2 linked regions of the Danio rerio genome follow. The protein of the gene in region 1 binds, or shares a complex with, the protein of each later gene. Links are inferred from orthologs where the notes say so. Each region holds a gene or a part of one and is shown in the gene's direction. Other genes may lie near its edges.

Region 1 (15,597 bases):
GTTATGTCTTTGTTCTGGCTGAATAAACAGTCCTCAAAGTGTTTGGCGAGCCGTCACAGGGGGAAAGCGTTACTTTTTTCTGCTCTTTTGTTTTGTGGCTTGGTCTGCTGCATATCAAAGTGACTCTTGGCAGTGGTCTGAATGTTTGAGCAGATTTGTTTTGTATATACAAGAGGTGTGGTGCAGGAGAAAGGGTTCTGCTTTCCATCATGTTTTGTCATTGTTTTTTAAAGTGTCCTAATATTGTGTTTGAGTCCCTTACAGCAGGTTTAAATGCATTTAAGTTGAGAAAATATTGTAATTTTCTCAGAATATGCCAATTATAAGAATCATTTTACAATGATTTTGATGTTTGTTTGAAAATTTAGGCTGTAAACCCCTTTCTTAAATAAGACAACTCTGCTGTCATTGGACAGCTTGCCATTAAGGCCCCGTTTACAGTAATGCATTTTAGTTTTAAAACGCATAAGTTTTGCTACGGTTAAGCCATCCATCCACACTACGCCGGAGTTCTCGAGCGCCGAAAACTGAGCGTTTTGAAAACGCTGGAGAGGCCGTTTTCATTCTAAAAAGCTGCTGCTCCATTTCAGTGTGGATGAGGAAAAACGGAGACATCTGAAAACGGAGGCGGGGCTGCTGAGATTCGCTACCTGATTGAGGCTTTTGTGTCATTGCGTATCCTTCCCTCCTTCGTCAAGTTTCTATCACATGACTATAACACATGGCTTTAATGCTACTGGAAGTTAGTACTGAAAACAACAACATGGACACAGAAATGGGAGCGTTGTTTGCACTATTGTCTGTTTTAGGCGCCACTGTGCAGTTATTCATTTGTTACGTTCGGTAACAACTCGACCTCGTCGTCTGTCCACAAAAATACCTCTCTTGCTTTCTTTGCCCGACGCGTTTAATGTACAACCGGCGTTTGTTGACTAACAATAACCAAATGCCGAGCGAGACGCATGCTTTCTGTTTATACTAGAACTCGCATACCCAGAGTGCGCGAATGGTCACGTGATATACGTTTTTGGTGGCGTAGTGTGGACGGAGATATGTTCAGAGACGCTAGGTGAAACGCTAGTGTGGATGCAGATTGTTTTTGAAAAACGCCGTTTTAAAACTAAAACGCACTAGTGTAAACGGGGCCTAAGTCTGTTTTGATTGGTCTTTCCATGTCTGAAATGAAATGACCATTTCAAAATCTTAATATGTCATGAGTCGGTAGAAAATGAAAATCCGTTGATTTAAGTGTGTTGATGTAAATCAATAGCTGACAAAAGATTCATTAAAGTGATTTTTCTCTATGATGTTTTGAGAGACACTAGCTATGTTTCTATTTCAAGATATGAACTAAACCTATGTGTAAAACTAAAATGTTGCATTAAACATTTGTGAAAGAAGCAGCATTTCTATCCAATAAATTGAAGAGACTAAAATAGTCATTATTGATAAACTGGCACCAAATATCAAAATAAAAAATGGAGTTTGCTAATGTAGGGGAAACCACTTGGGGTCTTTTTCTTATTTAATAATTATTAGTACCCAGAAAACCAACGAATGCAGTTATAACAACCTTTTTAGAGACACAAGACCGTTCTGGAGGTAATAATTTGACAGACTTCAGTTTTTCCTCTATGATTTTTTCCAGCTGTGGCTGCAGGTCTTTTACACAAATCTACCAACTACCGGTGGTGTTGTTTCAATGACAAATGGAGAAATGTGGCGAGCGCAGTATTACACGTCGAGATCGCATTTATGTAAAGTTTATACGAGCATGCCAATCTCTGCTTGCGCGCCGATTTCCTCTGGTCGTGCACAAAACTTTTTGCACGTCCTTAAACACGCTGCTCAAGCGCAGATCTTTTCGTGCTCTCTTAAATAAACACTACTGAAGAGCGATTTACTGTGTTGAGTATTGAGTCTGTCTCCAACATTTATTAGATTTGCAAGGAATATTTCTGAAAGTCTCCAATAGACCTACAGATCGGTATTAATGCATCCTGGAGTAAAGTGAAACGGCAATAAACTCCAATAAGATAAAGTCTTTGTTTGCAGAATCACAGACCTTAATCTATAAATAAAGTACAATTATGGAAACTGTTCATCTTAACTGAAAGCTACGTCGTGTTTGCTGGCCTCACGCATCACACACCTGTCAGCAAGTCAGTCAGTCTGTCAGCACTTAACCTTAAAGTGTTAAACAAATAGTTCACTGCCTTACTACGGCAACAGAAAAGTTTGCGCTGTTATAATTTACTTACCTTTTAATGCGTTTTGGTGCGATTATAACCCGCTATTAAAAACAACAACGACAATGAATGAATGTTGTGAATTAAGAAGAAGCTGTAATGTAGTCGTGTCGGGATGAATTTTGGTGTGGCGCCCCGCCATGGAAGAATGAATGTAGTGGAAACCATGGACTTTGGCTAAGGCATTTTAGAATGACCAAAGCAAGATTTTCTTATAAAAATAGAAAGATGGTAACTTGGGTAATATTTTTATATTCATCTTTGCATTGGGTAATTACAAACTACAAATAACAGATTTTTCTAAAGCTCGTGTCCTGCTCTTAAATGTTATGCATTTCTATTTACTGAAAATCTTTAGTAGTCCAGTGAACACTTCTGGCACGGCAGCCGGACTCACCATGGATAAATTGTTGCCACGGTGAATCCAAAGTTAATGTGATCATGGTTTTCAGCTCGAGTGATTATGAACTGCTTGAATCAGTAAGACAAATCAGCTGTAGGTGAAAGTTCAGTTCCTTTTTATTTCTTCTATAAAAGTTTATATGACCAACGTTCATTGAAAACGTGGATTTATAGTGATGATATAGATATGAAGTATGTTTATTGATGTCTATTGTTTTTTTTTTTTTTTACTTTGATTCGAATTGATTACATTTGTTAAAATTACTCTCAAATTAGTTTTTATGCTCAGGGAAATTACCTTGCTTTCTGAAGCATTGCCAAAACTTATATTGACAAAACACAAGTGTTTATAAATGTGAGGGTTTTGGGTCGATTACTTAGTGATTTAACTAAGTTGAGTTGTGAACTTTCACACACAAGTTTGACCAATTTATTTTTTGGATGTTCACCTTTGACCCAGTTGAATCAGTTGTCAGTTTGCAACAGTCTAAATCTCTGTCGTTCCCAGTCAGTGGTTGAACTTTGTACTTGGTGAAAGTTTGTGTTGATGAAAGAGGTGAGATTACAGCAAAACCTCTTCGATTGAGTATGATTGCTTTTATATGAGCTCAATAACAAAGTTCATATCGAGTACACATGGTTAGTGGACCAGCACTAACGCTCTTATAATTAAAGTGTTGCAAATGGTAAACAAGATCACTCATGCCAGTTGTTTGCTTGTTTCCTCAGATTCATGAGACCATCGAAACCATTAATCAACTGAAGACTCAGAGGGAGTTCATGTTGAGCTTTGCGCGAGACCCGCAGGGCTTCATCAATGACTGGCTCCAGTCGCAGTGCAGAGACTTGAAGGTGAGATCAAAACAGTCAAAAACTGAGCCCTAAGCATCATACTAACATGTTTAATGAGGATATCATCATGTTTTAATTGCATTTAATGGCACACAGTGTGTCCGCGGGGTCTTAACGTCTTAATGGTTTAACATGAAAAATAAGGCTGTCCAAAACCACCACCTACTACTCAGTAGACACTGCATTTGTATTAAAACGTACTACTCTGCCGTTAGAAAAGTACGTTCTATACAGTATGAATGTGAACAGTATGAATGGAACTCTGACATACTACATTTACCATTTTTGCCATGATCACATGATTTATTTAGTTGCATCTTTTCACTCCCATTCATGAATTTTCTTGCGGGGCATCATGTGATAGCACAGCATGCATGGGATGCACACTTCAGAATCTCGCTGGAAGTAGTACTTCTCACATACTGATTTTCGAATTCTATGAATTTAGACATGCTACTCAGCTCACAGTTTTTCGCCCACTATGTAGTATGGTAGTATGTGATTTCGGACACAGCCCAGATTTTAGGCCTTAGTCTTAAATTCAATTAAATCAGATCTTGCAGGTCTTAAATAATTTTAAACAGGTCTCAATATTCCCATATCCAGGAAAAGCTACTCAATCGGGCCAACACGCATCCAATCACCAACAATCCATCTCAATAGAACTATTTATAGAACTATTTACCAATATGGTTTAATTATCATCCTTATAGTAATATTTATTTAAAAGTGCTCTCTGTTTATAGTCCATATAGATCATTTCAATGTGGTCATGTCATTGGTCCATGAACATTTTCTGCTTGTTATCAAACTATTTCATAACTGTAACAAGAGGCAATTCAATCATCACTTAATCTTAAAACGGCTATATTTACATTTATTTATCAATATGTGACTCTTTTTGGATTCTCGGAAGAAATAGAAATTAAAAATGTAAAACAGGAAATGTATTGGGACCGCTGTTTTTGTTTACATCCCTCAAAATGGTCTATCTGGTGAGTACACTGACCTGGACAGACTGTTGTGCATTTAGTTTAGTAAAGTTTTTTTTGTTTGTTTTTTTTTCAAGATAAGTTATGTTGCAAAATGTGTATGCATACTCCTAGAGTTTGCTTGTTTTGACCATTTATTTTAAATGTGTGGCTAAGAAAAATCATCGAGTTCCTGGTATTTTGGAAGTCATATTTTGATGATGCTGTGACTGAGTGTGGAATCGTGGGAGTTGTGTTTTTTATCATCCTATGGGACACCTGCAGAAACCCTGTTGATGGATGAGCTAAAATATTCAACACCTGTTATCATGGTGGTATAAAGATGAGTAAGGCTGGACAGGGTATCTGCAGGGTCTTAAAAAGTCTTAATGTTTTCAATTTCAAAAACAAAATTGTTGGCCTTAAGTCCTAAATTACTGAAATATTGTGTTGTAGGTCTTGAATCATTTTAAATGGGTCTTCATTTTCTAAATGTTCATGTAAAGCTGCCCAATCAGGCTGACACCCATCCTATCACTAACATTCCATCTCAATAAATGTTTTTTAAAAAGTTTATTTATTAACTCTATTTAATAAAAAACAATTAATTTTCTTCCATAAAATAAGTTTTTTTTTTTTTTTTTTTATGTTTTAACTTGGCCTTTAGGATAAAAAAAATGCTTAATGTTTAGCCTTGTGCAAGTATAAAACTTCATTCATAATGGTCTTTATAAGTCTTAAATTTGACTTGATGAAACCTGTAGAACAACTGCTGGAAGCAAAACACTGAACAATTGCTGATAAAAGACGAGTGTGACATCGCATGAAAGCAACTGAGGTTTTATTATGCCAGAATCCACCACTTCCATTTTAAAAACAAAAACCCGGATATCGACTGTATGAGACATCATTAGCATGAACACAGCACACACGGTCTCACTAAAAATGCTTATTTCACTGACTTTGAACGGCTTTTGTAATATTTGACTGTCATTACTTGCGTCTATTAGTCTCTAATGCTGTTTGGATACTTTAATGAAAAACCCTTACATATTGTGTCTTCAAGCTGCATGGTTTATTAAAATGTGTAGCAAAAGTGCTTGTAGAAATGGGTTGTGTAACCTTCGCCCAGACTCGGTCTTTCTCCATCTGTATGTTTGCTCACAATGTTAGTTGGTGGACTGACTGGACTTTTAATGACTTGGGGGGTTGGGAGTATTTTAAAGAGGCGTTTGTGAGAGATGTTGCATTTTTAAATGGTTTGCGGAGAATCAAGCTTGCTATCATTTTTCTCAAGCTTAATTTATCCATCCAAAAATGTACCATCTGTTGCAAAGCAGTTGCTTGCGCTTCCTTGGGATTGCACATCGTGTCTTGAGAGTGTTGCGCTCTGGACAGAAGCCATTAATCAGTAACCGTTGTTCTGCTGACGTCTGAATTTGGTGTCCTTGCAGACGATGACGGATGTTGTCGGAAACCCAGAGGAGGAAAGAAGAGCCGAGTTCTACTACCAGCCTTGGGCTCAAGAGGCTGTGTGTCGCTATTTCTATTCAAAGGTGATGCTTTATACTTTACAGTTCTTGTTTCCTGTTAACACTGCATCCATTTTAATTATAGTTTCTCACATAATCTCTTGTGATCTCTCAGGTCCAGCAAAGGAGACAGGAGCTGGAACAGGCTCTTGGCATTCGAAACACATAAGCAAGCCTGTGGCCGTTACGACACAGGACCAGAAGGGATTCTGGGTAGCGAATTTCCTGCTGCTTGGCACTGCAGATGCTGATCACTACAGTTTTATTACGGTTTATCTTGTGCTGTCCTGCTGTAGCTGCCCAGGAGTGACCCTTCATAAGGAAATTACCTTATTTTTGTTGTGACTCCGCCAAACTAACAAACCCCTTGAAATTCTGCTGTCCCACTTGATTTTTACCTGATTCAAGCTAGATGATTTAGCGATGTTGTTGTTTTCCGACCAAACTGACTTGCTTTTTTTTTTTTACCGCTAATATCGGAACTCCAAACAAAAATGGTAAAAAGTATTCTCCGTTCATGGCTTCTTGGAGTCGTTTAATTTTGAAATGATCGATATTGTCTTTTGATATCTTAATGTTCTCATAATATGAACTTTATGAAGATCTAGTCTAGTTAAGCATAGATGACTGATAATGATGTAGTGTAGTACCTCAGCTCTCTGAAGATGAATTATTCGGAGGAAGTTCCTTAAACGAGTGCGTTAAAGGTGGGCTCACTGGTTAACATTCTCTGCAATGACTTTGAGAACTCGTCTGTTCAGTAACCGTTTTAGATCCACAAGATTAGATGTACTGCTGATCCACCTGTTTGATTACAGGTCTGTTGGGCACAAGCTTTGTCCTGGCCTGTAAAGTACTTCCACTCTAACCTCGCTGTGATATGTATTAATATATTTAGAGAATTGCCTATATGGTTTGTTGGTTCGTTTAATTAATTTTCATTTTGTCATTCTGAAAAGTAACATGAAATAAACCTGCCAATGCAAGTACTACCTGTCCATGGCTACCCAAAAATCATGTTTAGGAATACTATCAAGTGATTGAATATTTAATCGATGCACTGCAGATAGGCCATGGGTTCTTCCACTAAAGTAATTCAAGCATTTAGAAGCCAAGTGCTAAAAACTTTAACATTCTGAGTAGTTTAAGTTTTCTTTAAGTCATGCGTTTGCTTATTTTATATCTTTTTAATCCTTTTTTTCCCCTTTAATGGACCAAATGTTGTATTTCTGTTAGCCCTTGTGTTATAATAAAGATTATCTTGTATTGATGCTCACCTCGGTGTCGAATGTGCTCGCTAAATTTATTTTATTTCTTTTCCTTCAGGCCTAATGACGATTTTCAAGAATGACTCAAGATTTTTGTTAAATCCCACATATAACTTTTTAAACATTTGTGATGTTGTGCAAACAGCTTAATAGCTAAATTGGTAGTTGTAAATCGAATGTTTGAGGGTTTGCTAATGTTGATTTAAGATGGCAAATCCTAAAGTCACATTCAACTTTGGCGCCAACAACATCCTGAAAATATTTACTGTATTTTTAGTGTCATGGTTAATGATTGCATTTGATTACTTAATTCCATCGAACTGTTTAAATTATTGCCTCAGGTGTCACCCATTGGGTTCATGCTAAATACATGAGGTATTGCAGCAATGTTTCTTGTGTAGAAACGTGTATCTATTGGCAGATCTAGGAATTTTTAAAAGCAGGGACCAAGGCGGGGCCACAGTTTACAAAGAGGGGGCAAGTTTTTCAATTGGTGCGAGCACCTAAACCAGGGATGTCACACTCAATTCCTAAAGGGCCGCAGCTCTGCACAGTTTAGTTCCAACCCTAATTAAACACACCTGAACAAACTAATTGAGTCCTTCAGCCTTGTTTGAAACCTAAAGGTAAGTGTGTTGAAGCAGGGTTGGAACTAGACTGTGGAATTGAGTTTGACATCCCTGACCTAGACTCTGGAATGCTTGATTCTAATAGGTCAATCATGACATTCAGGCTCATCCAGGTACTGCAAATCATCATATAAACATTCATTCTACAATTGCAATGTTGAGCTGGTTTATGGGAACATGTCTTGTCGTTGTAATTCAAAACAGTTAAAATCATAATTAATGGGGTCTTTCCACATTCAAATCTTGATTTTGGTGTGCTGGGAGGGTTGGGTTTATGGGTCAGGCCATCTACATTATACCTATGGAGAGGTCCTTATAAACCAAAATGTAGAAGTCAAAATTATTTTCCCTCCTGTGATTTTTTTTATTTTTTATTTTATTTTTTTTTATTATTATATATTTCCGTATTGATGTTTAACAGAGCAGGATATTTGTCACAGTATTTACTATATTATGTTTAATAATTTGATTTCACTATTGAATTCACCATGAAGTGTACCTTTAGCGTTGACATAACTCAAAATGGTAATTTAATAACTCGTATGACAGCTATGAGCGGAATCCTAGAGTTACCTTGTAACTCTGACATGTTTAGTCTACTCGCATATGACTATCAATTTTGGTCTGTTTTAAAATATGTGTTTGAAAAACAAACTATGCCAAGGAACATTATTACAATTTTAATCCCTCTTTTGGAAAAAGTACAGGGACTATAGCACTTGTCATTCAAAAAAAAATTGCTATAGGTAACACCTGCGTTCGACATGAATTAAAGTGCGTCTAAGTTTGAGCTTTGCTATAAATCAGTTAGGGGAGAGGGGCACTACAGGAGCCAACCCGATTTAAACGGGGCCGGTGCCCCACAGATCCCCACAGACCCTGCGTATATCCTAATCTTCACTGTTTTAATAAATTCTTTGTTGGAAGCAAATATTTACATGAATGTCTTTTTTAAACAGCCAATGTAACGTAGTGCCAAGAGCTAAATAGCAAAAATTGTGAATGTAATTTATTATTTTATTTTATTTTTTTGTCGATGTTAATGCCAATGTTGTTTCAGGTTAGCAAATAGCCGTTAGGTGCATTTTTGGCGCCACCAACGTCGTGTAAAACTTTACCATAAACGCTTATTGATTTACGTTTTAAATTAAGCGTTTATCGTATTAACGTCGTTAATGATAGCTAGACTACTTACCTTTCAGTAAGATGTTTCTGTTTTAATTGTAGTCTCGGGATTTCCTCAGTATTGGAGAAATATTTCTTATAGCCTATTATAGAAATGTAATAATCTTCGCGGTACAATTATCAGTTAATTCAAACGTATTCCTCAACCCATACTTAACAGTTGTTAAGTAACTTTAGGTAGTGGTTTCTAATAATAATAAATCATCGTTGTCACTTGTCAGTCCAGTATGTATGAGAAGAAACCAGCCAATGCGCGTTAAGGGGAGTGATGCGCGTTCACAGGCTATTTAAATGCGCGCGCACAGGATTTTCTCCGGTCCGGCAGCGGCTCTCAAACACACCAGAGTCCTTCAGCCAGTCCAGCCGGGACAGAAGCGCAGCATGGCGGCCAAGAAAATCTGCATTATCGGCTCTGGCAACTGGTGCGTGACATTTACGTATTTTACATTCATTTTGCGCATATACATGTATTATTGTAATGCAGGGGGCAGCGGGGGCTGAAGTATATTTGGAAGCAGCCTGTTTTAACACCCAAACTGAATTGATTTCTATTTTGGGAAGTTGATTAAATGCGGTATATTTAGTATTGCACGGCTTCGCTCTGCGGATATCAAGTGTAATCCAGGAATACTTGACCTTTCCGTTAATATACTTGAAATATCAGAGATTACACAATGTTTTGTCGCTGTTAAGATCCTAAAGTGATTTGAATGTTTCTTAAATGGGTACCTTGCTATTTATTTTATTATGCATTTCATGTACTTATTGTCTTTAATGTCCAGATGTGCTTTGTTTGGTTTGCTGTAGTTGCTGAGGTAATATTTGCTGAGTAATGATTGACTCAGGTGTCCAGTGATCCTCTTTAAACTCAAAGAAAAGGCTGCAGACCCATAAACTTTAGCCTGTTCTAGAGCATTGCATATACTGAAGCAAAGCTATAATATGCAGTGGATTAATATTATAATCATCTATTAACATCTCAGCAGCATGGTTTCATGTTTCCAATCTTAGAGGATTATTCAGTTTATTTTTAGAAGATGTTTTGTTGTACTGGTGCAGACACACAAGATTTAAAGGGATAGTTCACCCCAAAAAAAAGAGAAAAAATTTGTCATTTACTCAGCATTGTCACGATTAATCTTTAGATACTATACCAGCTGAAGTATTACAAAACCAAGTAGTGTTGTGATACTGTAATTCATAACTCAAATTCTAAAGAAAATTGTCAGAAATACTATATTTTATGTTATATGCATATAATAGGCCTACTTGAATGTAATTCAACATTTCCGTAAGGCCAAAAATATTATTTGCACCCCACTTCACCTAAAATTGTTTATTTTGTAGATAACTGACCAACAAAAATACATTAAAATAAAGATACAAGTTATACAGAATGAAGTTTGTTACGAAAGAGCATTGTCACCCAACAAAATTAGGCTATATGAAGTGGTCAAAATTTGTTTCAACATTTCCTGTTGCTATTTTGGGTTTTTCATTTATCATATTTCAGTCTGTTCTTTGTATGTGGATTACTCAATTAGCTGGATTTGGTTATTGACGATTTGACACGATCCAGGATTATTTTGTTCTTCAAAACTCATCCGAGAGTTGTTGTCATAGCAATATAGGTCTGGTAGCTCAAACCTGCTCAGGAGCAGACTTGTGTCATGCAAAAAGGATTAGATCGGGTCTTTTCAAGCAAAGATAATACTGAAAGTATGTACCGAATGCTGACATTTTCCTACAGTAGTAAGCTTTAGGTTATATACATTTGGGAAAATAGTCAAATGGTTTTAAAAAAATGTTTATTTTTTTTATATTTATATTATATGCATATAAAAGTTTAATATATAGAATTAAAGTTAAATAAAAGTTTTAAAAAACATGCAAGTATAACTTATGCAATCTGCACTGCAAAATAAAAGTACAAAAACTGTCACGGCGGTGTTCTTTCCCCAAGGAGTTCAAAGAGAACATTTATTATTATGCACATTTTAGATACAAACGCATACTATTTTAAGGATTCAGCTTTAGTAGTACATTTTTTCTATATCATAATAGATAACAGGCACAATAATCAACTGTTTTTTTTTTGTTTGTTTGTTTGTTTGTTTAAAGGAATAATATAGTCAGTCATTACTATGTTTTGACAGCTAATATGCCAGTGATTTGATGCTTCGCAAAAGTTTCAGACACCTTCACCAATATCAAAATTCTTTTTTGATGCAGAATTAATTTAAACAGCCAGTTATTATGCTGATTAATCAATCCGCTCTAACTGTAAAACTAAATAAATTGATAAATACTTTTGACACATGAAAGTGTAAAGCCTGCAGCCCACAACAAATGTGTAGTTATTGCGTATCATATTTAACAAACCGTTTACTATGAATTTTATGTAATTTAGCTCACATGCTTGAATATTAATCAGATGATGTCGTTACCCTGCTGTGCCGTCAGCCAATCGCTGCATTGCTGATCATGAATTCGAGGATCATTAGATCAGTCCTTCACCACACATGCAGCGATCTCAGATCAGTTCATCCAGACATATTAATCTGATTAGCAATCTTGTTTGAAGAACCAAATTAGCCAGAAATCAGTTATCAAGATGCACAGATCCAGGATCTGCAAAATCATCTTAGACCATTTAAGTACGGTAAGAAGAACTGACCCTAGGTAAAAATCCAAAGTGATGCAAAATTTCACTTTGTGAGTCATCCTTTTAAAGAGATCGTTTTGGTTGTTGTAGCTACTAAATAGTATTAACAGGAACAGAAATGAACTGATTCAGATGTGCGTTCGAACCGGAGTGTTAGAAAACGTGCAATAGGCTACCATAAATGGTGCAAATTCTACAGTTTATAAAAATAAAAAAATGGTCTGTTGTTGCACAAACGTGACTATTTTAGCTACTTTTCCACATGCAACATTATCTATTGTAGATAAACCATTAATGACGATACTACCGTTTACAAACTTCAGTGGCACCGCCAGTATTTTGGAGCTATAGTATCGCAATACTACCATAGTACCGGTAAACCGTGCAACGCTATATCAAACCTTTTTCTAAACACAAAGGAAGATAATTTGAAGAAATCTGTAAGAACTGACTTCAGTAGTATTTCTTTTGGTTGCAGGTTTTCAGCTTTCCTCAAAGTATATTATTTTGTGTTTACCAGAATAAAAAAGCAAAAATTTGGAACCACTTAAAGAGTAAATGGTAAATTCTCATCATTAATCATCTCATTAATGAACACTTTTTGAATGTCTAAATATCAATAAATACTTATTATTATCACAGTAATTTCCTTACACCAATGGCAACTCGCATGCTTTACTACTTGAGCACCTCAGCTCTCATAGGACTAATTAAAGAAGCATTATATAGTCTAGTCAGTGTCGCAGTAATGAATCTGCTTCTTGAGCCCTCAGGAGAGCGTCATCTGTCATTACTGATCCAGTGCTGTGTGTTCATTACAGTTTATCAGTGCTCTTTAAGCTGAGTTTTTCATTTCCTCAGGGGTTCTGCCATTGCCAAGATAGTGGGCGCCAATGCAGCCAAATACAACACTTTTGAGAACACGGTGAACATGTGGGTGTTTGAGGAGATGATCAATGGACGCAAGCTCACCGAAATCATCAATACTGAACACGAAAACGTCAAATACCTGCCTGGACACAAGCTGCCACCTAATGTGGTGAGAATGAGAAGCTTGTTCATAGCAAACTTTTCTCTCTCTCTGGAACATAAAAATCAGTCATAAGTGTATTTTATTTTTTTTTTATGATTTATACGTCAAATGAAAGTTGATTAAATAAGCTTTTAACTGATGTCTAGTTTTAGGATTGTACATTACTTGGATGAGATATGAGTATTTGAGAATCTGAGGGTTTAAAAATATCTAAGTATTGAGAAAATCGCCTTCAAATTCAAAAAAGATAAGTTCATAGAAATATATATAACTAATCAAGAATAATTTTTTGATGTACTTACAGTTGGAAATGTACAAAATGTTTTATGTAAATTCTTTACTAAATGATAGATTTTTGACTCGTAGTCATTCGTATTTGGTATATATTTTTTATTAGTTAATAAAAATTAAATATCACAAGATATAAACCATTATTATTATATCCAGGGTGCAAATTCTACATTGACTTGATTGAGGGGGTCAACTTTTTCAGTAGTAGTTTGGTAATGCATGCCTTAGTGAATCAAATTTATGAATGTATTTGAATTACATCTAATTTATGAATAAAATGTATACATGTTCAGTGTTTTGAGGGATAGTTAGTGACTATTTTAGGCTACTGTCCCTACATATTTTAGAGCGGTAATCACAATACTGTAAAACTGCTTTTTTTATCCAAGGTTATCATACCGTCAGAAACTTAAACTGGCCAATGCCCATGTTAGAGTTAATCTGAGAAAAAACATATGAATAACAAGTTAACATGAGAAATTATTATTAGTACCATATTGGTTTTCTTAAAGATGGCAGTATTTATCTTGCAGCTTTCTAAAAAATTATTTAAAATGTCATGTATAAAGTCATAAAGAAAAAAAGTCTGATATTTTAGTTTGTATAATTTTCTCATTAAGTAATAAAATGTTATATCCAGCGGGCAATTTGTAGATAAACAATCGGGGGGGCTCAACTTTTCCGGTAGTAGGTTGGTAATGCATGCTTCAGTAAATCAAATGTATGAATGCATTTAAATTACTTCTCATTTATTAATTATATATGTATACATTTTAGGGATATTTTGTGATTATTTTAGAGGTTACAGTAGGTAAAATTAAGCATCTAATTTTTCTTTTTTTTTTTGACTATATGCAGATACACCTATTTTACAAGAAACGTGTTTTGTGAATACTTAAGATCGGTGCTCTAGAACTGCCTGTTTCAGACTGTTGAATCATATTTTTCCTAGCATTGATTGGAGCGATTATGCATTCACAATGGTATGAACCTTTATAGGAGGGGTCAAATGTACATTTATATTATACATTTTTAATAAACAATATTTAGGATATAAATCAGAGATCAGAGAAAGCTATTTCTTACTATTAACCCGCTGACCCTCCCCCCATACATCTTGTTTTGATGTTCTTCAGGGGGGGAATCAAGCGTTAATTAGGGGGATCAGCCCCTCCTCCCCCCCAAACCCCTGTTATTTGCTCCCTGGTTAGGTCACAATTCTAAGGAAAACAAAGCCACAATTACAGTTGAAGTTGCTTTCTTACAACTTTCTTACAAATCCAAGATTAAATCTCCTGAATTCTGATTTAATATTTCACAATTCCGTTTTTTGTCCACCATAAAATGGTTAATGTTTAATGTTTAAATTACAATTGCAGAAACCAGTATTCATAATAAACCCCATATTAAACGTGTTTTTCTCCTAAGTTGGCGGTTCCCGATCTGCTGGAGTCGGTGAAGGGTGCAGACATCCTCATCTTCGTCATCCCACACCAGTTTGTGTCTCGGATTTGTGACACAATCAAGGGCCACATTAAGCCGGACGCAGTGGGAATGTCCCTCATTAAGGTAAGTTTCCCCATTTATGCTTACCTGTTCTTCTGTGCAGTAAAGCTTGAGTTTATACCTGAGTTTATATCGATGTGTGTGTGTTTCGTAAGGGTGTGGATGAGGGTCCTGACGGGCTGAAACTGATTTCTGATGTCATTAGGGAGAAACTGGGCATCACCATGACTGTGCTGATGGGAGCCAATCTGGCCAATGAGGTCGCAGATGAGAAATTTTGTGAAACCACCATCGGTAAGTGTGCTGAAAAAATGCATCATTGCCACAATACACACAAATATGGTTAATGTTTTAAAATATCTTTACATTACTATTGTGTTTTAATGATGTCATAAGTGCACAAGATTAGTACTTTTTTGTTCATTAAATTCAAAGTAATATTTGCACACACTTTTGACCACATTATCAGACCCAAAAGTCCTGAAAAACACCTGTAGCCAATCAGCAGAAAGAGGCGTGTCTAGTACTGTAATTTTAACTGAGACATCAAAAAGGGGGGAGTTTTTATGGATGTTTGATTTGTAGTTTTGGTAATGTGTAAAATGTGGTAATGATGAAAAAAGTTTAATCTGTAGTTTTGATAATGTGTAAAAATGTGGTAATGACGTATTGTGTTGTGGAAATGATGAAAAAAGTTTAATCTGTAGTTTTGATAATGTGTAAAATGTGGTAATGACGTTTTGTGTTGTGGAAATGACGAAAAAAGTTTAATCTGTAGTTTTGATAATGTGTAAAATGTGGTAATGACGTTTTGTGTTGTGGTAATGACGAAAAAAGTTTAATCTGTAGTTTCGGTAATGTGTAAAATGTGGTAATGACGTTTTGTGTTGTGGAAATATAAATATATAGTTATATAATTTATATTTATAAAAGTGGTTTTCAGGGTGTGATAGACCTTAAAATGTCTTGGTCTCCTGAGCCCTTAAGGTCTCCAAAGTAATGCAAATTATCAGT
Region 2 (16,339 bases), on another chromosome or scaffold:
TCAACTCTTATTGGTACTTTTTGCAGTGTTTTATTTTATTTAAGAAAAAAAAGTTAACAGAATTAACAAAACTGTTTTATTATTACATTGTAATGTAAAAAGAAGCCAACTTGTGAAACAAATAAATAAAAAAAATCCTGTTAAAGAATGTACAATGGTTTAAATAAAAATGACTCTCAGTTTTTAACCATTCATCTGGAGAAAAATCTGTAAAAAATACCCTCTTTTAGGTACGAAATGCAGTCAAATTATCCGTTAATATTTATGATTTTTCAATGTTTATGGATCACAGTGTTTTGGAACTTAACAACGTAAAAAAATGTGCATTTTTAAAAAAATTTCTTAATAAGAATAGTTTATTATTAGGCTATATTTGTAAATACAGTAATGTAAAAGCATCTTTAATGTTTAAGACTTAGTTAGGCTACTGCAGAAAGAAATACTGTTTTCATTGTAACCGAATGTGTGTGTTAATTAAACTATTAATATTATACTAATTAAGAGAGACCTTTTGTGATTTACTGCAAGCATAACGATGTGGATGATGTACCCTTAGCTAGTCAGTTGGAAACTTTTAACTTGTCTTTCTGAAGTTAATCCACTTTTGTTGCTACAGACATTGTCGCTGTCTACTCAGGAAATACAACCCGTTTGGTTCTCTTCGCCACTCCACAAGCTTACGAGCTGTGTGTGCACGCGAATCTGTGTTGCGAGCTATGTGTGTGCGCTTAGCGCGAGCCTCCACTGAGCGTGCGCACAGCCAAGAATTGTAAATGTTTTTATACTTGATGCTCCCACCGTTGTACATTTGGGCGAAAACGCAAGCATTTCTCATGTGAGATTGCCAACTGTGCAGACGAATATCGTAAATTAGGTTGGTCAGTTAAATTATGCTACTGTAAACAAAGAGCTTAAAATGACCAAGAGGCGACACTCAATAGAACGTTCCATTGCAACAGCAGCGCCCAGCAACAGCCCTGGATTCCGCCATTATGGAGTGAAAGTGATCGGCCGTCCATTAAATGTCATTACTATCGCGATGGCAAGCAGCTGCTTTGTTTTTTATTTATTTATTCAAAAAGCACATTAAAGTTGAGATACAACCTGAAAGACGACAATACAACACGTATTATCACGAACATCGGCACTTTTAATAGTTTATTTTACAGACTTATAATATGCATGGTGTTCTATTGGTGTTTTCATTCCAAAATGGCCGCCCCGCCCTCTAGTGGCTGTTTCCCAAATTACACCAGAGTGTCGCCTCTTGGTCATTCTAAGCTCTTTGCTGTAAATAATGTTTATTCAGCAATAATTCTCCAGTACTGATAGCAGAACCGTTAACATCAGAGCTTATTGATTCTTCGGTCTTTTATAATTTAGCACCAAGACTGATAAAATACCGAGTTTCGGTACCCATCCCTACCGGCAGTAGGGTACATTTCATCAGTTGATTCATTCTCTGGAAGTTTAGAGAAACCACTAATCTAGTAAAGAGGTTTGCATACCAGAAAAGAGTTAAGAACTAAGATCTGTAAAATTTAAACATCATTTTTCTTGTGTAAACACCTAATGATGCCTCTCAGGCTTTTCTCCCAAGCACCAAGCTCAAGACATTATTCCAAATCCTACTGCATCACAGATTGCAGCAACACGGTGGCGCAGTGGTTTGCACTGTCACCTCACAGCAAGAAGGTTGCTGGTTTGAGTCCCAGCTTGCTTAGTTGTCATTTCTGTGTGGCGTTTGCATGTTCTCACTGTGTGCTCCCGTTTTCCCCACAGTCCAAAGACATGCGCTATAGGTGAATTGAATTAACTAAATGGTCCGTAGTGTATGTGCTTTAATGTTACGCCTGTTTCACACCGCAAGCGTCAGCGGCGCGTGAGCAGAGCGTGAGCAGCGCGTGTGTTTTCGGCGTCCATGTTAACAGCTTAGAGCTTTCACACCGCACGCAGCAGCAGCGCGTCAGAGCGAGGCGTGAGCGTCGCCGAAGCAGCAGTGCAGCGATAGTTTCGGCGCTGGGTCTATTTTTGACGCGCTGCTCACGCTCAATTAAAGTGACAGTGCTTTGATAATGACCAAAACACATTGAATGACAGTAAAAAGTAGCAATTTTACCCAATAAATGCGTTAATAATGTCCAATGGTTTATATATAGTCATTCAAATGAACTTAAAACGATTAAAAACGGCAACAAACATTTATTTAGGCCCGAACTACAAAACCAAATGTAAAACAATTTTAGTATCAGTTTTGCTTAAGTTGCACACTAGTGTTGTAGGAGAGGGGAAATAGAATATTTACGGGAATTGTAGTCCATAGCGAAGTGTATTGTGGGTAGTGTAGTTCGACACGCATGCTGGATGATGTGAGCTCGCTGTGTTCTGTGCAGCTGAGCAGAGCAAGAAAGTTTTTATCGGCTTTGTTTTATGTTTACTCGAGTTATTCCTACCGGGAGCTTTTTGCACTCTGAATCTGACAACACGAAAATAAGTAAAAGAATGGCATGCATTGGTTACTTTCGTCCGTCTCATCCTCTGCACGAGCATGAATTAACGAGCTGTTTTTCTGCCGCTGGACATCACTGAAGCGGAGAAAGTAACACTAGTTTGATCATGTATAAATATCATTATAACTATATTGTATAAATATTATTATAACTAGGTCTACAGCAACCTGATAATAAAAAACAAATGACATGATATCACAGGCGATTGTCTTCTGACTGTAGACGCTTCTTATATAAGTTAGATTGAGAAGCATACAGCACTATTTGATCTATAGAATTTGTAAAATAAACATTTGCCGGTTAAAGAAACAGCATAGGAGGGGCCTTGGTGCAGATGAAAAGTTTGAAAAGTGTATTTGTATATAGAGAGACATAGGTAACTAGATAGAATAGACAGAGATAGGTTGATCTCTGCAGCAGCTGCCGAAGAGCTGCGCGCTGCAGACGCAGCTGGTGTGAAAGGCAAACGCCTGCGTGCTGCTACTGCTCGACATACTCGCTGCTCACGCTCTGCTCACGCGCCGCTGACGCTTGCGGTGTGAAACAGGCGTTAGTGTATGGGTGTTTCCCTGCACTGGGTTGCTGCTGTAAGGGCATCCTCTGTGTAAAACATTCAGTATTCTGGATAAGTTGATGGTTCATTCTGATGTGGCGACCCGGATGAATAAAGGGACTAAATTGAAGGAAATGAATGAATGACCACAGATCACCTCTCACATTAACTAACAATTTCTCCCATATCATTGTTAACGTCATTCTAGGTTGGGGAATTTGCTGGAAGATCTTTTTAGCAAGCTTTCTGTGGCTTAAATGAAGTCTATATGCCTCATATGGAGAGTTATAATTATATGCATTGTGCTTTCTCTTTTTTCTCAAAGTCATTTATGACACTTTATTCCATCTCATAGTCATTTCTTTTGGTGATTAAATTACATCCTTTGGACTGCTTTTTTTAAGCTGAATGTGACGCGTCTGCTTTTGCAATACCTGTGAGTTGATCTTCTAATCCAGTTTGTGACTGCCGAACTGTCATTTTCAGATTCGCTGGAAGTATATGATTGTGGACGAGGGTCACCGTATGAAGAACCATCACTGCAAGCTCACACAGGTGTTGAACACCCACTACGTTGCTCCCAGGAGGCTGTTGCTCACTGGTACTCCCCTGCAGAACAAATTACCTGAGCTCTGGGCCCTGCTCAACTTCCTCTTACCCACTATCTTCAAAAGCTGCAGCACCTTTGAGCAGTGGTTCAATGCTCCTTTTGCAATGACAGGAGAAAGGGTAAACTGTCATATTTGAATCTTTAGAGATTTAGAGATGTCTATTTTACGTCTTACACTGTATTTTAATGACTTTTTTTCTTGGTTATGGGGTTGCGCTGATGTTTGTTAGGTGGATCTGAATGAAGAGGAGACCATCCTCATCATTCGTCGTTTGCATAAGGTGTTGCGTCCCTTCTTATTGCGCAGACTGAAGAAAGAGGTGGAGTCTCAGTTACCTGAGAAAGTAAGTGTATCCACTTTGTCTCTTGTGTGTGTGTGTGTGTGTGTGTGTGTGTGTGTGTGTGTGTGTGTGTGTGTGTGTGTGTGTGTGTGTGTGTGTGTGTGTGTGTGTGTCTGTGTCTGTGTCTGTGTCTGTGTGTATGTATTTTATTATTAGCTGATAGTGAAAAGAGCATTCAGTGACATTTAGCATCTGTCTGCTTTGGTTCACTGCACACAGAAATCAACACATAGTCACTGCCTTTTTCACATACTGTGTTGACGCATTTTCACAGATATCGTGAAATACTGTAAAGGCCACCAAGAACTATAACATTAGAATGCATAATTCTAAAACAAGGGTGTCAAACTAATTTTCACTGAGGGCCATTTTAGCATTAGGCTGCCCTCAAAGGGACAGTTATAACTGTAAGACTGTATGGCGGATTTTCATGGAAACTTAGTTGAAACATTTTCAACAATAAGTAAAAAAAAAAATATATATATATATATATATATAAGGTGCCCTTTAAGATTTTTAAGTGCAATATGTATGAGATTTTGTTAAAAACATTTAATGTACAAAAAACAACATTGAATTTCAAAGATGTTCCCAGAAGTCATTGAATAAAGGAGGTGGGAAGTGCAACATTTGATATAGATTTATTATTAAAGTCTCATTTATCTCAGGAGTTTCCGTAAATGAGACAGTGAAAGTAAACATTACCATGAAAATCTTAATAAAGGCACATTAACAGTGTTTATTTGGTGAAATTCCTATTAAAATTTGTTTTATCTGTATTGTGCAACATTTGTTAGGGTCTTTATGGATAGTTTATATTGCGCATAAATGTCATGTGACCATCAGGAAAAACACATTTCATTTCTCACAGGACGCGGTCTTTGTTCTCGCGTTCCCCCAAATTTGTTCTTTCGAGGTAATCTTGCAAGACCAGTCACCACGAGAACATGAGTCGTGTCTCTGCGTTCTTGGAATTTAGAAACAGCCATTGTCTGCATAGTCACTGCCTGATAAGGCAGGAAATAAACAAGTCAGCTGTCTAAGCTTTGGGGCAAAACCTGTATGTCATCCTGTTCAAACTATATTGATGCACTGAGTCTTCATTTGTCACAGGTGGAGTATGTCATCAAATGTGACATGTCAGCCATCCAGAAGGTCCTGTACAGACACATGCAGGGCAAAGGTATCCTACTCACAGATGGCTCGGAGAAAGACAAGAAGGTAAACAGAGAAACTGTGTGCTTACTCACTTTTACACCACTGTGCAGATTTGATGTGTTTAATGTGTTTTCTCCACAGGGTAAAGGTGGAGCCAAGACCCTAATGAACACCATCATGCAACTGAAGAAGATCTGTAACCATCCCTACATGTTTCAGCACATTGAGGTATCACTATCTGTCATAGAACAATGTTTATTAAGTTAACGTTACATAGGTTTACCTAAAACTTGAATTTCTGTTATAACTGACTTTCCTGCAATTTAAATGACTTTAAATATATCAACAGAATACAAGAGAAGATATTTTAACGCTATTGCTTTTTGACATACAAACTCAATGGGGTCCAAAAAACAGAGCCCAAAAAAAAAAAATCTTCTTCAAGACCTAAAACTACTACATAGCTCTGAAGTTAGACCTTAAAGTTTCTGTCTATGTCTGAAAATAATAATAATTTTTGATTCATAATAGATTTATTTTCTGCAATAGGTTTATATCAATTCTAAGGTAAAAAAACAAACAAACAAACAAAAAACAAACATACATTTGTTTTTGTAGATACATCACAACAGCTGTTTTTTCACAGTGTTTCTAAACTCGTCTTTTCATCGCTCTAATTAGCGATGGCCAGTTTGTTATGATTTGTCTATGTACCAGTAATGAAACGTTCATTAACATATCTGAACAGTAACAATGTCACTAGCTAATTCAAGCCCAAATTCGCATGCTTTGAAAGTGAATGCAAATTGGAGACAGTGGAAAAAGGGGTACCATCTTAACATCAACATCACAAACCAAACTGCTTCATGCCTCAGCTTCAACTAAATGTTTGATTGAAACGGGTGTTGTTTGCATAGGTAGGCATTATGCAGTTATGTTACAAACCTTTGCAGTTTTGTGCTGGATGTTAGAAAAGAGTTACCGATGACTTATTTTTAAGCAATTTGGAATCATTTTGGGTGTACAAAAATTACATTAAAGTACTTTCACAAACAGCTATATTACATGCTACCTGAATGTTAAAATCTGAAAAAACTACAACAGGGACACTTTAAATATCTATCAACAATCAAAAAAGCTAACGCTTTACATGCAACTAACCCTGAACCTAACTTGCATTCTAATCCTAACCATATGGTATATACATGTAATTAGGGCTTTCTCAGCCGTGCGATATTCTGCAATATCAGAACTCGTACAGCCTCCTCAGCCTTCAGTATTACTCCGCCCATATAGAGTGACAACAGATCAATAAACTCATTATAGTTTGACAAATGTTGTAGCTGTTAGACAACATAATGTACTTTTGAGGCTTTTTTAGTCGAGATTGTAGTTGTTTAGATTGCAACTATGCCTTTATTTACTGTATAAGGATAGAGCCTGTTTTAAATAATAATACAAAATCAGCCTGTCACTGAGCAGAGCAAAGACGGTTGACGTCCATGTACAAGATGGCGACAGAGACCACATAATAAGCCCTTAAAAGAGAAAAACTCTAATTTCTAACTACAGCTGATCAAATCATTATTATTTTGGTGAGTAACATTTTAAGTTGATGTCCCTCTTTTGTATGTTGTAGAGCTGCATTTATGCCGTAGTAGTTGTTGTGTATTAAGTGTAAGAAAGGACTCGCATATCAGGAATGTATGCATTTTGTGTTGGCCACTCTTTGGCCCAATCCAAATTCTACCCCTTAGCTCTTCTCCCTTCCTCTTAGCCCTACGCCTTCAAGCTAAAGAGAATTGGGACACCCCTACCCCTTCACGGGAAAGTGCAAAACGAGCGGTTGGGGGTGTCCTAATTCTCTTTAGCTTGAAGGCATAGGGCTAAGAGGAAGGGGCGAATAGCCCTTCAAATTTAGATTTTTCAGGACCACACTCGAAACCAAGGAGTAATAAAATTTCCCAGAATGCACCATCCACCACGGCAGGGTCACTGCACCTGGAGGTCAGAAGATGCACAAATTAGTATTGTTTTATATTATTGTGAATTTTTACAACAAACAAGCACATGTTGTAATATATTCATAGCCGCATTTGTGTTTTACCGTCATGCTTTTAAAAAAACGCTAAAATAAAAACTGCTAAATTTCGCAATGTATAATCAAAAACTATAACTTATGTATAGTAGTTCCACAACATTCTGACACTCGATGACACTCGAATACCCTGTCAGAAAAAGTCTAGTGACTGGGAAAGAGCTTTAAACAGTGTGTGCTATAATGTTAGTTTTGTTTTTGGTGTGTTTACATTGATGAATAAGGCCACTTTGTAAATGCACAGTCCAGTTACGATCTTATTGTCACATTAGATTGTTATGATAACATAATACATACCTTAAGTGATTTCCTCAAGAAAAATACCAAAAAAATAAAGCAACTGGAATAACTACAGCACTGATCTCATATGAAGGATGAGAACGCAATGACATATATTGACGTGTGCAGGTCTTGTAGTGGTGTCCCATTTTTTAGGGATAAATTTCGAAGTCCTTCTCTTTTACACTTTGTTTTATGGGCCAAGGGGAAGGAGTAGGGGTTAAAAATCTAATTGGGATTGGGCTTTTGTATAACCTAAGGTTACTTTTTGATTGGCCATCTGTTTGTTTCTATTGAGTCTTCTTGCTGTAAGAAAAACCCGCATGTGTTTAGCGTTTTTCCTTATCGCAAACACAACAGTAATATCGTATTGTTTGCACTGCTTTAGCTTTTTCGGGGTTATTTATGTGATCTCTAATTGCAATAAAGAAATACTGGGAAATATCTGTCGACTGATGACATTTCATGCCAGTTAGCCTTACAATCTTAAAATGTAATGTAATGTAATGTAATGTGTATTTATATAGCTCATTTATTATGTATGGCCAAACACCCAAAGCACTTCACAATCATGAGGGGGTCTCTTCACACCACCACCAGTGTGCAGCATCCACTTGGATGATGCGACGGCAGCCACAGGACAACGGCGCCAGTGCGCTCACCACACACTAGCTATTGGTGAAGTGAAGAGACAGTGATAGAGGCAATTCTGTGGAAGGGGATGATTAGGAGGCCATGATCGTAAGGGCGGATAGGGGGACTTTGGCCAGGACACCGGGGTTACACCCCTGCTCTTTCACGAGAAGTGCCATGGGATTTTTAATGACCACAAAGAGTCAGGACAGTGTTGTGTCCCCTTAACTTTTTCTGGGGCATTAGGACTCACACAGACCACAAGTTACCAGAAGGCAAAGTATCATAGACGCTGCGGTGAACACTGTGGTTTCTGTGGTTACTGTCATTCCTCTGCAGACAAAAAAATTGCAGTTATCGCCACAGCCATAAACTGTATGTAAGCCTTGTTAGTTGTTCAACGAGCAGTGCCACTGTAATAAACAGTCAGTATTTTTTTCCTACTTGTATAGCATGAGCTACACTAAAAGCATCTTTTTTGTATCTATTCAGGAATCCTTTGCTGAACATTTGGGATTTCCAAATGGCATTATCAGCGGGTGAGTATACATCAAATCGAGCGTTACATAACCTTAAGAGTTACCATGAAGTGTTCATTCATGTCAATTATGGATCACTAAACTGACCGCGGGCTCTGGACAGTGGAGGTACACCATCATAGATTTGACATTAGCGTTGTGCTTTTTTTTTTCTTGTCCACCTAGCCCTGACCTGTACCGAGCCTCTGGCAAGTTTGAGTTACTGGACCGCATCCTGCCCAAACTGAAGGCCACCAATCACAGAGTGCTTTTGTTCTGCCAGATGACCTCCCTCATGACCATCCTGGAGGATTACTTTGGCTACCGTAACTTCCTTTATCTGCGTCTGGACGGTCAGTAATCAGCGCAGTCCTTCTTTAATGTTTTCCTGTCCTTTAGGGCCTTATTTCTTGGGGGTTTCCAATTGGAAATTTTAATAAGTGTGATCACACAAACATGCTGCCCTTTCTCTTTCATTAACACTCCTTTGCTGCTGGTTTTGTCCTCCAGGAACTACAAAGTCAGAGGATCGTGCGATGCTTTTGAAGAAATTCAATGAGGAAGGCTCCCAGTATTTTATCTTCCTGCTGAGCACCAGGGCGGGAGGTTTGGGGCTGAACTTGCAAGCTGCAGACACTGTTGTGATCTTTGACAGCGACTGGAACCCCCACCAGGTTTGTGTGATTCACTGCTGTGATTAGAGAGGAACTAGACAGTCGCATAGCAAGTTTTCAGCTCAGCAGTCATCTGTCATCTCTAGATCTGACTTGAAATACATTTCAAAGTGCATGTTTGTTTGAAGTAATCGTGGAGGTCTGTTTTTCTACCCTAGCAGAAAAAAGGTAGCTTTTTCTTTTGATTTTTTTGAACTGTTATTTGATTTTGATTACATCAAACCTTTATAAAAAAATTTTTTATCTGTAATTATGGTCTTAAATCTTAGGTTCTTTATTTAATTTTGTTTTATTCTTTTATTATATTATCTGAAATTATCCTGTATATACATTTTCTTTTTATTTTTAATACATTAAAATATCTTTAGGCAATGCAGTGGCGCAGTAAGTAGTGCTGTCACCTCACAGCAAGAAGGTCGCTGGTTCGAGCCTTGGCTGGGTCAGTTGGCGTTTCTGTGTGGAGATTGCATGTTCTCCCTGCGTTTGCGTGGGTTTCCTCCGGGTGCTCCGGAGTTTGCATGTTCTCCCTGCGTTTGCGTGGGTTTCCTCCGGTGCTCCACAGTCCAAAGACATGGGGCACAGGTGAATGGACCCTTCGCTAAGCCCCGCCCTCCTTAGTTACTGTTGCTATGCCTGTCAAGCTTTATTGCCTGCAACGTCTATTACAATGTGTATGCGCCAGTTTCAGACATTGCCAGGGATAAAATTAGTCATTTTTTTCCAACAGATAAGATATCCGAGAAAGCCAGACAAAAAAGGACAGCAGTATGCATTACAGGGGTAGATTCACGACATAATAGGCAACTGATTAGAAAATAACCGGATCAAAATTGAAGCTAGCTTAGCCTAGCCGCCTCATACGCTGACCATTCAACAGCTCAGTTCATGCACAGCAGGAAAGGTGACATTTAAAAATAATTCAGTAAAACTAAATAAACCCTGATTTCTCTTTTTTAGCCAAAAAGCCTGATAGATTAATTGTTGTGCAATGAAGTATAGCGTTACTTACCAACTAGGAAAAACGCATGGACAGTGCTTCTACATCATTAATTTATAGAAAGAACAGCCAAGAAGGGGAAATAGATGGATTTGTACCAGATATTAGCATCATTTACCCATAACAGTGAACACCTATCACCGTCTGTACGTATGTTTGTGTGCTCTTTATAGCGTTTCTATTCTAATTTACAGTTAAGTGAAAGAGATAAATACATTGAAATGCAAATCAAAGTATAAATAGCAGAAGTGAACGAATAGATTTTCCCTACCAGCAAATATTAATCCGATGCCAAATATAAAAGCAGACACTAACCCTCTATAGCATCGTCACAGATGAATAAATCTCCAAAAGACAGACGAAAACATCAGTGAATTGTAGCTCTGACATGGACATCGAGGCTTATAAATGACTGAAAAACAGCTGCTTGTAAAGTATACTGATCGCAAGTGCTCAGATTGTGATCACATCTCGGTTTTGTTCTGTTGATATGTAATTTCAAATATTCGAAGCTTGAAACAGATGGAAATATGATTGCTATTTGTGTGACTCCAAAGGCTTAAATGGAGCAGTGCTCATAATATCGAGCGAAAAAAGAAAAAGACAGCTGGGAAACATGACCTGTTTTGTATTTTTGTAATAAACACACTTTAGATCTGTTTAGGGTAAGAGGTGTGTGAGTTATTGCCGTCTATGACTGAATGTGTCAGAAATATCGAAAACAAAACTGACTTAACACCGCTCCTTTAGCACCCCTCACAGAGATTGATCCATGCTGGCATTTCTCCCCTTGGGTTTTAGGTTTTGAAAAGGGAAAAAATTCCACCACCCAGTCCAAACTTTAAGGATACCGGGTATCAGATTTGCACAATCAATATGCACAGCGCTTTGGCCTGTTTCCCTCGCTCGAAAGCTTGACAGAGCTCCTGCGCATAGCTACGGTTGCTAAGCCACGATTGGTGGGTGGCGTTTTTTGGGTGTGGCTTAGCGAAGGGCCAATTAGGTAGGCTGAATTGTCCATAGTGTATGGATGTTTTCCAGAGATGGGTTGCAGATGGAAGGGCATCCGCTGCATAAAACATATGCTGGATAAGTTGGTGGTTCATTCCACTGTGGAAACATCAGATTAATAAAGAGACTAAGCTGAAAAGAAAATGAATGAATGAATAATAGCTTTAATTTAGTTTTCTGGTCATTTCCATATAATTAAAATTTTAATTACTTTTACCTACATAGACACTGATTGTACTTTTGCCAGTTCTCCTTAACTAGACAGCCTGAGTAACAGCAGCTGAAGAGTACTGTATAATGTGCATGTTACTTTTAAGGCTATATTTGACAGATTTCGTAAAGGCTTCAGTACTTTTTGAGGTCTCTCTGCAACTTGACACTTGTGAGGGCGACTTGGCTCTATGACAATGAGATGAGACCTCAAATTTAATATTCTGCCACTTGTCACAAAGCACATTTTGCATATTGACTGATCTAAAGTGCCTGAATTTTATTTTATTATTTTATTTTATTTTATTTTCAGTCCCAAGTGGAAACATGCCTGTATAGGTAGTTGACATCACATAAGATAATAAACACTTGTATTAATTATAATTTTTCATAAAAAAATGATGGTACTGTATATGTAATAAGTATATGTAAGTCCAATAAAATTGTTTGCTTGAAGTAGAGGTCTGTGCGTGGCTATAATTTATTTTGCTTGCGACTGCTATTGGGTAAAACTTTGAGGTGTTATCACATTGTCCATAGGGTCATTTTTTTCCATTTGTGTATATGACACATGTAAAAGAATCCTATACATCAGACTTGCCTGATATGGGTTTCCTAACAGTAAACTGACCATTTTTAATGCAAGTTGAAGGACAGCCAATCTACACTTTGCTCTCCCATGTTGGTAAAGACAGCTTTGATGACCGTTATGCAGATGATGCGTGCACAGACTGTGCCAATAAAATGCACATGCAGAAAGCACTGGTCCATGCTTTCAGCATGTGTAACAGTCAAGAGCACTGGCTGTACCGGTGCTCAATAAGATATGCTATTCCAAAATTATATTGGGACACTGGAGCACTATTGTTAGAGCGACCGCTTCAATTTAAATTACTGATGGTTTTCTCAATTACCGCATTTTATTCAGAAATTTATTTGCATCGCAAGAAATCTGCTTGGGTCCCACTGCTGGACTTTGGGACCTGACCAAAAGTCCAGCAAGTCTTTGTACATGACCGTGAAGTCATGTACAAAGACTTGCGTGGAAATCCTCCTAAACATTGCGTACGCACAAAGGTGCAACATGCAGGAGCGCAAAACCCCTCCCTGCCTCCTCCCCCGTATGAATATGCTAATGACTCTACTTTGGCAAAACCCAACGAAAAAGCAATGGCAAAAGCAAGCAAAAAGAGAAACTTTGAACAGAATGTGAATTGAGGGTGCTCCTTTAGGAGGTAGACCAGAGAAAAACGGTGTTATTTGCAAGTTTGTCCTCCGGAATTAACAACAAAAGAAGAAAAATAGAGTGGGGAGAGTTTAGCTGATGCGGTTAACACAGTTAAGTCTGAACATCGCACTGTGGATTAAAAAAAGAAATAGTGTTATTTATAGTTGTAGATGTTGTAGTACACTCAATAGTCTCAGTGGCGCAGCTCGTAAAACGCATGTTAACATGTTTTGACACGTTCGAGCATGAACTCTGTTCGAATCCAGCGTCAGATGAACTCATTCATTCATGCATCATATTTTATTTGCACATTTATTGAATGGAAATGTTTCTGATTCACGCATGCAAATTCATCTTCAGATGGCGCCTTTATAGCAATGTGCGTGCAGTAGATAGCTCCGATTACATTGGGAAAACCGGCAACCGCTGCAAATAGCGCTTTAATGTTTGGCTGGTCAACTGTATGGTATGGAAACCTTATATACCTGCTAGATGAACCTGTCTCATACAGCTGCCATTGCACGGCTCAAAGACTCTTTGTAAAGTGCAATTTAACACAACTGCCTCTAGGAGTCGCCAATGGAAATAAAACAGACACGCAAAAAAAAATGTGCGTACGCCAACATTCCCACGTTCATTTCATCGTTAGTAAATCCAAACGTGAGCGATTCTGAGCGTGAAACCTGGCGTACGCAAAGTTTTTGTGCATACGCAGCATTGATACATGGCCCCAGGCCCCAGATTTCTTGCTATGCAGGAATGCAGACCTTTAGCTTAAAGTATATCATCTAAAACATTTTGTTTACGCCTGCAGACAAAAGTAAATTTGTTGTTGGCGTTTGTAATGTATGTATATATTAATTGTTTTTTTTATTGTTGTTTGTTGTGTTATGTGCCTTTGCCCCACACATTTTCAGCAGAAGATGCTAATGTTAACCCATCCATCCTCCTCCACAAACAGTGCACAGAAAGTCACAGTGATTTGCATCCATTTGTTCTTCCTTTAGAAAACAAATCAAAGAATGCACTATGCCTCTTTTTAATTAAAATCCCCCACTCTGATTATTATTGATCTAATAATAACACGCTGCTGTGATTTCCACCACCAGGACTTACAGGCCCAGGACCGAGCTCATCGCATTGGCCAGCAGAACGAAGTACGTGTGCTGCGCCTGTGTACCGTCAACAGTGTGGAGGAGAAAATTCTTGCGGCTGCCAAGTACAAACTGAACGTTGATCAGAAGGTCATTCAGGCAGGAATGTTTGATCAGAAATCCTCCAGCCATGAGCGCAGAGCTTTCCTACAGGCTATTCTGGAGCATGAGGAACAGAATATGGTGAGTCACTGTAACAAGATCCGCTCTGAGTTATTGTTAGACTTACTAATTACATCTAATGATGCACCAAAGTAAAAAATTACTTCAAAAAAAGTAAATAACAAGGTTGCTCCATTTGTAAAACTGTTTGATGGCTGCATGATTCTGGATAAATTGAGAAATGCCTTTTTTATCATATTTATTATCATAATTTTTTTTAACACCTTAAAGAAGGGGTGTCCAAACTCGGTTGGAGCTAAAATATGCAGGACATTGGTCCTCCAGAACAGAGTATGGACAGCTTTAAAGGGACAGTTTTATCAAAAAAGAAATAAAAAAGAATCATTGTTTAGTCTCCTTTATGTGGTTTTAAAGCTTTATGAGTTTCTTCATTTCTTCATTTTCTTCATTTCTTTTGTGGAATATAAAATGAAATATCTTGAAGATTGCTGGTTGCTGGCTTCCATAGTAGAAAAAATACCATGAAATATATTATTTTGAGTATAACAAAAGAAACTCAAATAGGTTTTGAAGAAGTAGAAAGTGAGGTAATAATGTAAAAATAAAACATTTTGGTTGAACTTTTTTTTTTTTTTTACATAAAAGCATGTTATTTATTAAAGGTTCAAGAAACCCTTAACTACTTTTAAAAAAATGACAGATTTGTGTGTTTTGAGCATCAGTTAAGACGACGTTAGCACCTTTTAGCTTTTTAATTTTGGATAAATCTGGATAATTTTGAGCTTTTGTCAGCTAATTCCATCTTACGGGTTTAAAATCATTTTTGGCGGCATCAGAATCAGAGATGTAGCATTTGTCTGCCTGTCCACGTGTCGGTTTCTCATTATTATTCATAGCTGAGTTTCCTTATCCTTTGAGAAGACCCTGCTTCTTAGTTATTTATCCGAGCATGTGATTTCCGATGACAGACCTGCCAAGTGAGACCGTGACCCCGCATGGCATGCAGTATTTAGCCATACGTGTAGGGTCATATGTGTTTGTTATCATAAACCATGGAGTTTGTTGCATGGCTTTCCCCACAATGCTGTCCGGGCTTCTGACACATCCAAGCTGTTGTTGTGCTGCAAGCATTTTTGTGAGGAGAGCATTGTGAGAATTGGAGAATGGTGGACTTTGTCTTTTATCAGTTGCATTCGTTACTATTCAGACACATCGCCTATATGCATGCTGCTGTGTTCGCCTATATTTAAAATCTTCCATATTACCGGCAGGGATAATGGTGTGAATAGATAGGGCAAGAGACCTGCTATCCATTGTGTCTGTATTCAGACGCGGGAATTCAGGAGGATAGAACTCTATATATGTGTAGCCTTTGACTTTAAGTGTAACCTATATATTTTATAATACAGTTGAAGTCAGAATTATTTGCCCCCCTTTGAATTTTTTTTCTTTTTTAAATATTTCCAAAAATGATGTTTAACAGAGCAAGGACATTTCCACAGTATGTTTGTTAGTTTTTTTTTTTGTTGTTTTTTTTTTTTGAAGAAAGTCTTATTTGTTTGATTTCAGCTAGAATAAATTCTTTTGTTGTATATTGTTTTTATTTTTTTTAAAGCCATTTTTAGGTCAAAATTATTAGCCACTTTAAGCTATATATTTTTTCACAAGTCTACAGAACAAACCATCATTATACAATAACTTGCCTAATTACCCTAACCTGCCTAGTTAGAAGTGTCTTGAAAAATATCTAGTAGAATATTATTTACTGTCATCATGGCAAAAATAAAATACATCAGTTATTAGAGATGAGTTGGTAAAACTATTATGTTTAGAAATGTTGAAAAAATCTCTCCGTTATACAGAAATTGGGGAAAAAAAATAAACAGGGGGGTTAATAATTCTGACTTCAACTGTATGTAAACACAACTATGGATAAACTGTCATATATGTAGCAGGGCATTAAATTATTTAATGTTTATTTCTTTGCATTTTAACTTTGTAAACTAAAAAATCGTGGGTCTCTTTTATGGTTTCCTCACATTTTTCCCGTGCTTAGCCTGTCATGTCCACTCCTCTCTCTTTTCATAGCGCACCACACCAATCAGTCTATTTAAAATTGTTTAAATTGTTTCAATTAATTATTTCTTTCCTGGGACTTGGTTGCAGTTGGAAAGGCATCTGCTGCGTAAAACTTATGCCAGAATAGTTGGCAGTTCATTCCACTGTGGCAACCTCTGATAAA

Evidence for each region.
Region 2: smarcd1 (region 1) and smarca2 share a complex: the UniProt entries of both Homo sapiens proteins name them as parts of the BAF complex. The link is inferred for Danio rerio from reciprocal best matches to the Homo sapiens genes SMARCD1 and SMARCA2.

Annotation. Positions count from the first base shown.
Region 1 is NC_133197.1:7,392,379-7,407,975, reverse strand, and holds the end of smarcd1 (SWI/SNF-related matrix-associated actin-dependent regulator of chromatin subfamily D member 1), read left to right. Parts: exon of another isoform or gene 1-1,164; intron 1,165-1,497; exon of another isoform or gene 1,498-3,380; coding exon 3,381-3,503; exon of another isoform or gene 3,504-3,986; intron 3,987-4,057; exon of another isoform or gene 4,058-5,928; coding exon 5,929-6,030; intron 6,031-6,121; coding exon 6,122-6,175; 3' UTR 6,176-7,282; downstream 7,283-15,597. Other genes in the region: gpd1b (glycerol-3-phosphate dehydrogenase 1b), read left to right, coding at 9,470-9,510, 12,615-12,792, 14,506-14,646, 14,739-14,877. UniProt on the Homo sapiens protein: Involved in transcriptional activation and repression of select genes by chromatin remodeling (alteration of DNA-nucleosome topology).
Region 2 is NC_133180.1:46,068,802-46,085,140, forward strand, and holds part of smarca2 (probable global transcription activator SNF2L2), read left to right. Parts: intron 1-3,549; coding exon 3,550-3,792; intron 3,793-3,903; coding exon 3,904-4,017; intron 4,018-5,127; coding exon 5,128-5,235; intron 5,236-5,313; coding exon 5,314-5,400; intron 5,401-8,674; coding exon 8,675-8,721; intron 8,722-8,886; coding exon 8,887-9,053; intron 9,054-9,210; coding exon 9,211-9,374; intron 9,375-13,929; coding exon 13,930-14,157; intron 14,158-16,339. UniProt on the Homo sapiens protein: ATPase involved in transcriptional activation and repression of select genes by chromatin remodeling (alteration of DNA-nucleosome topology).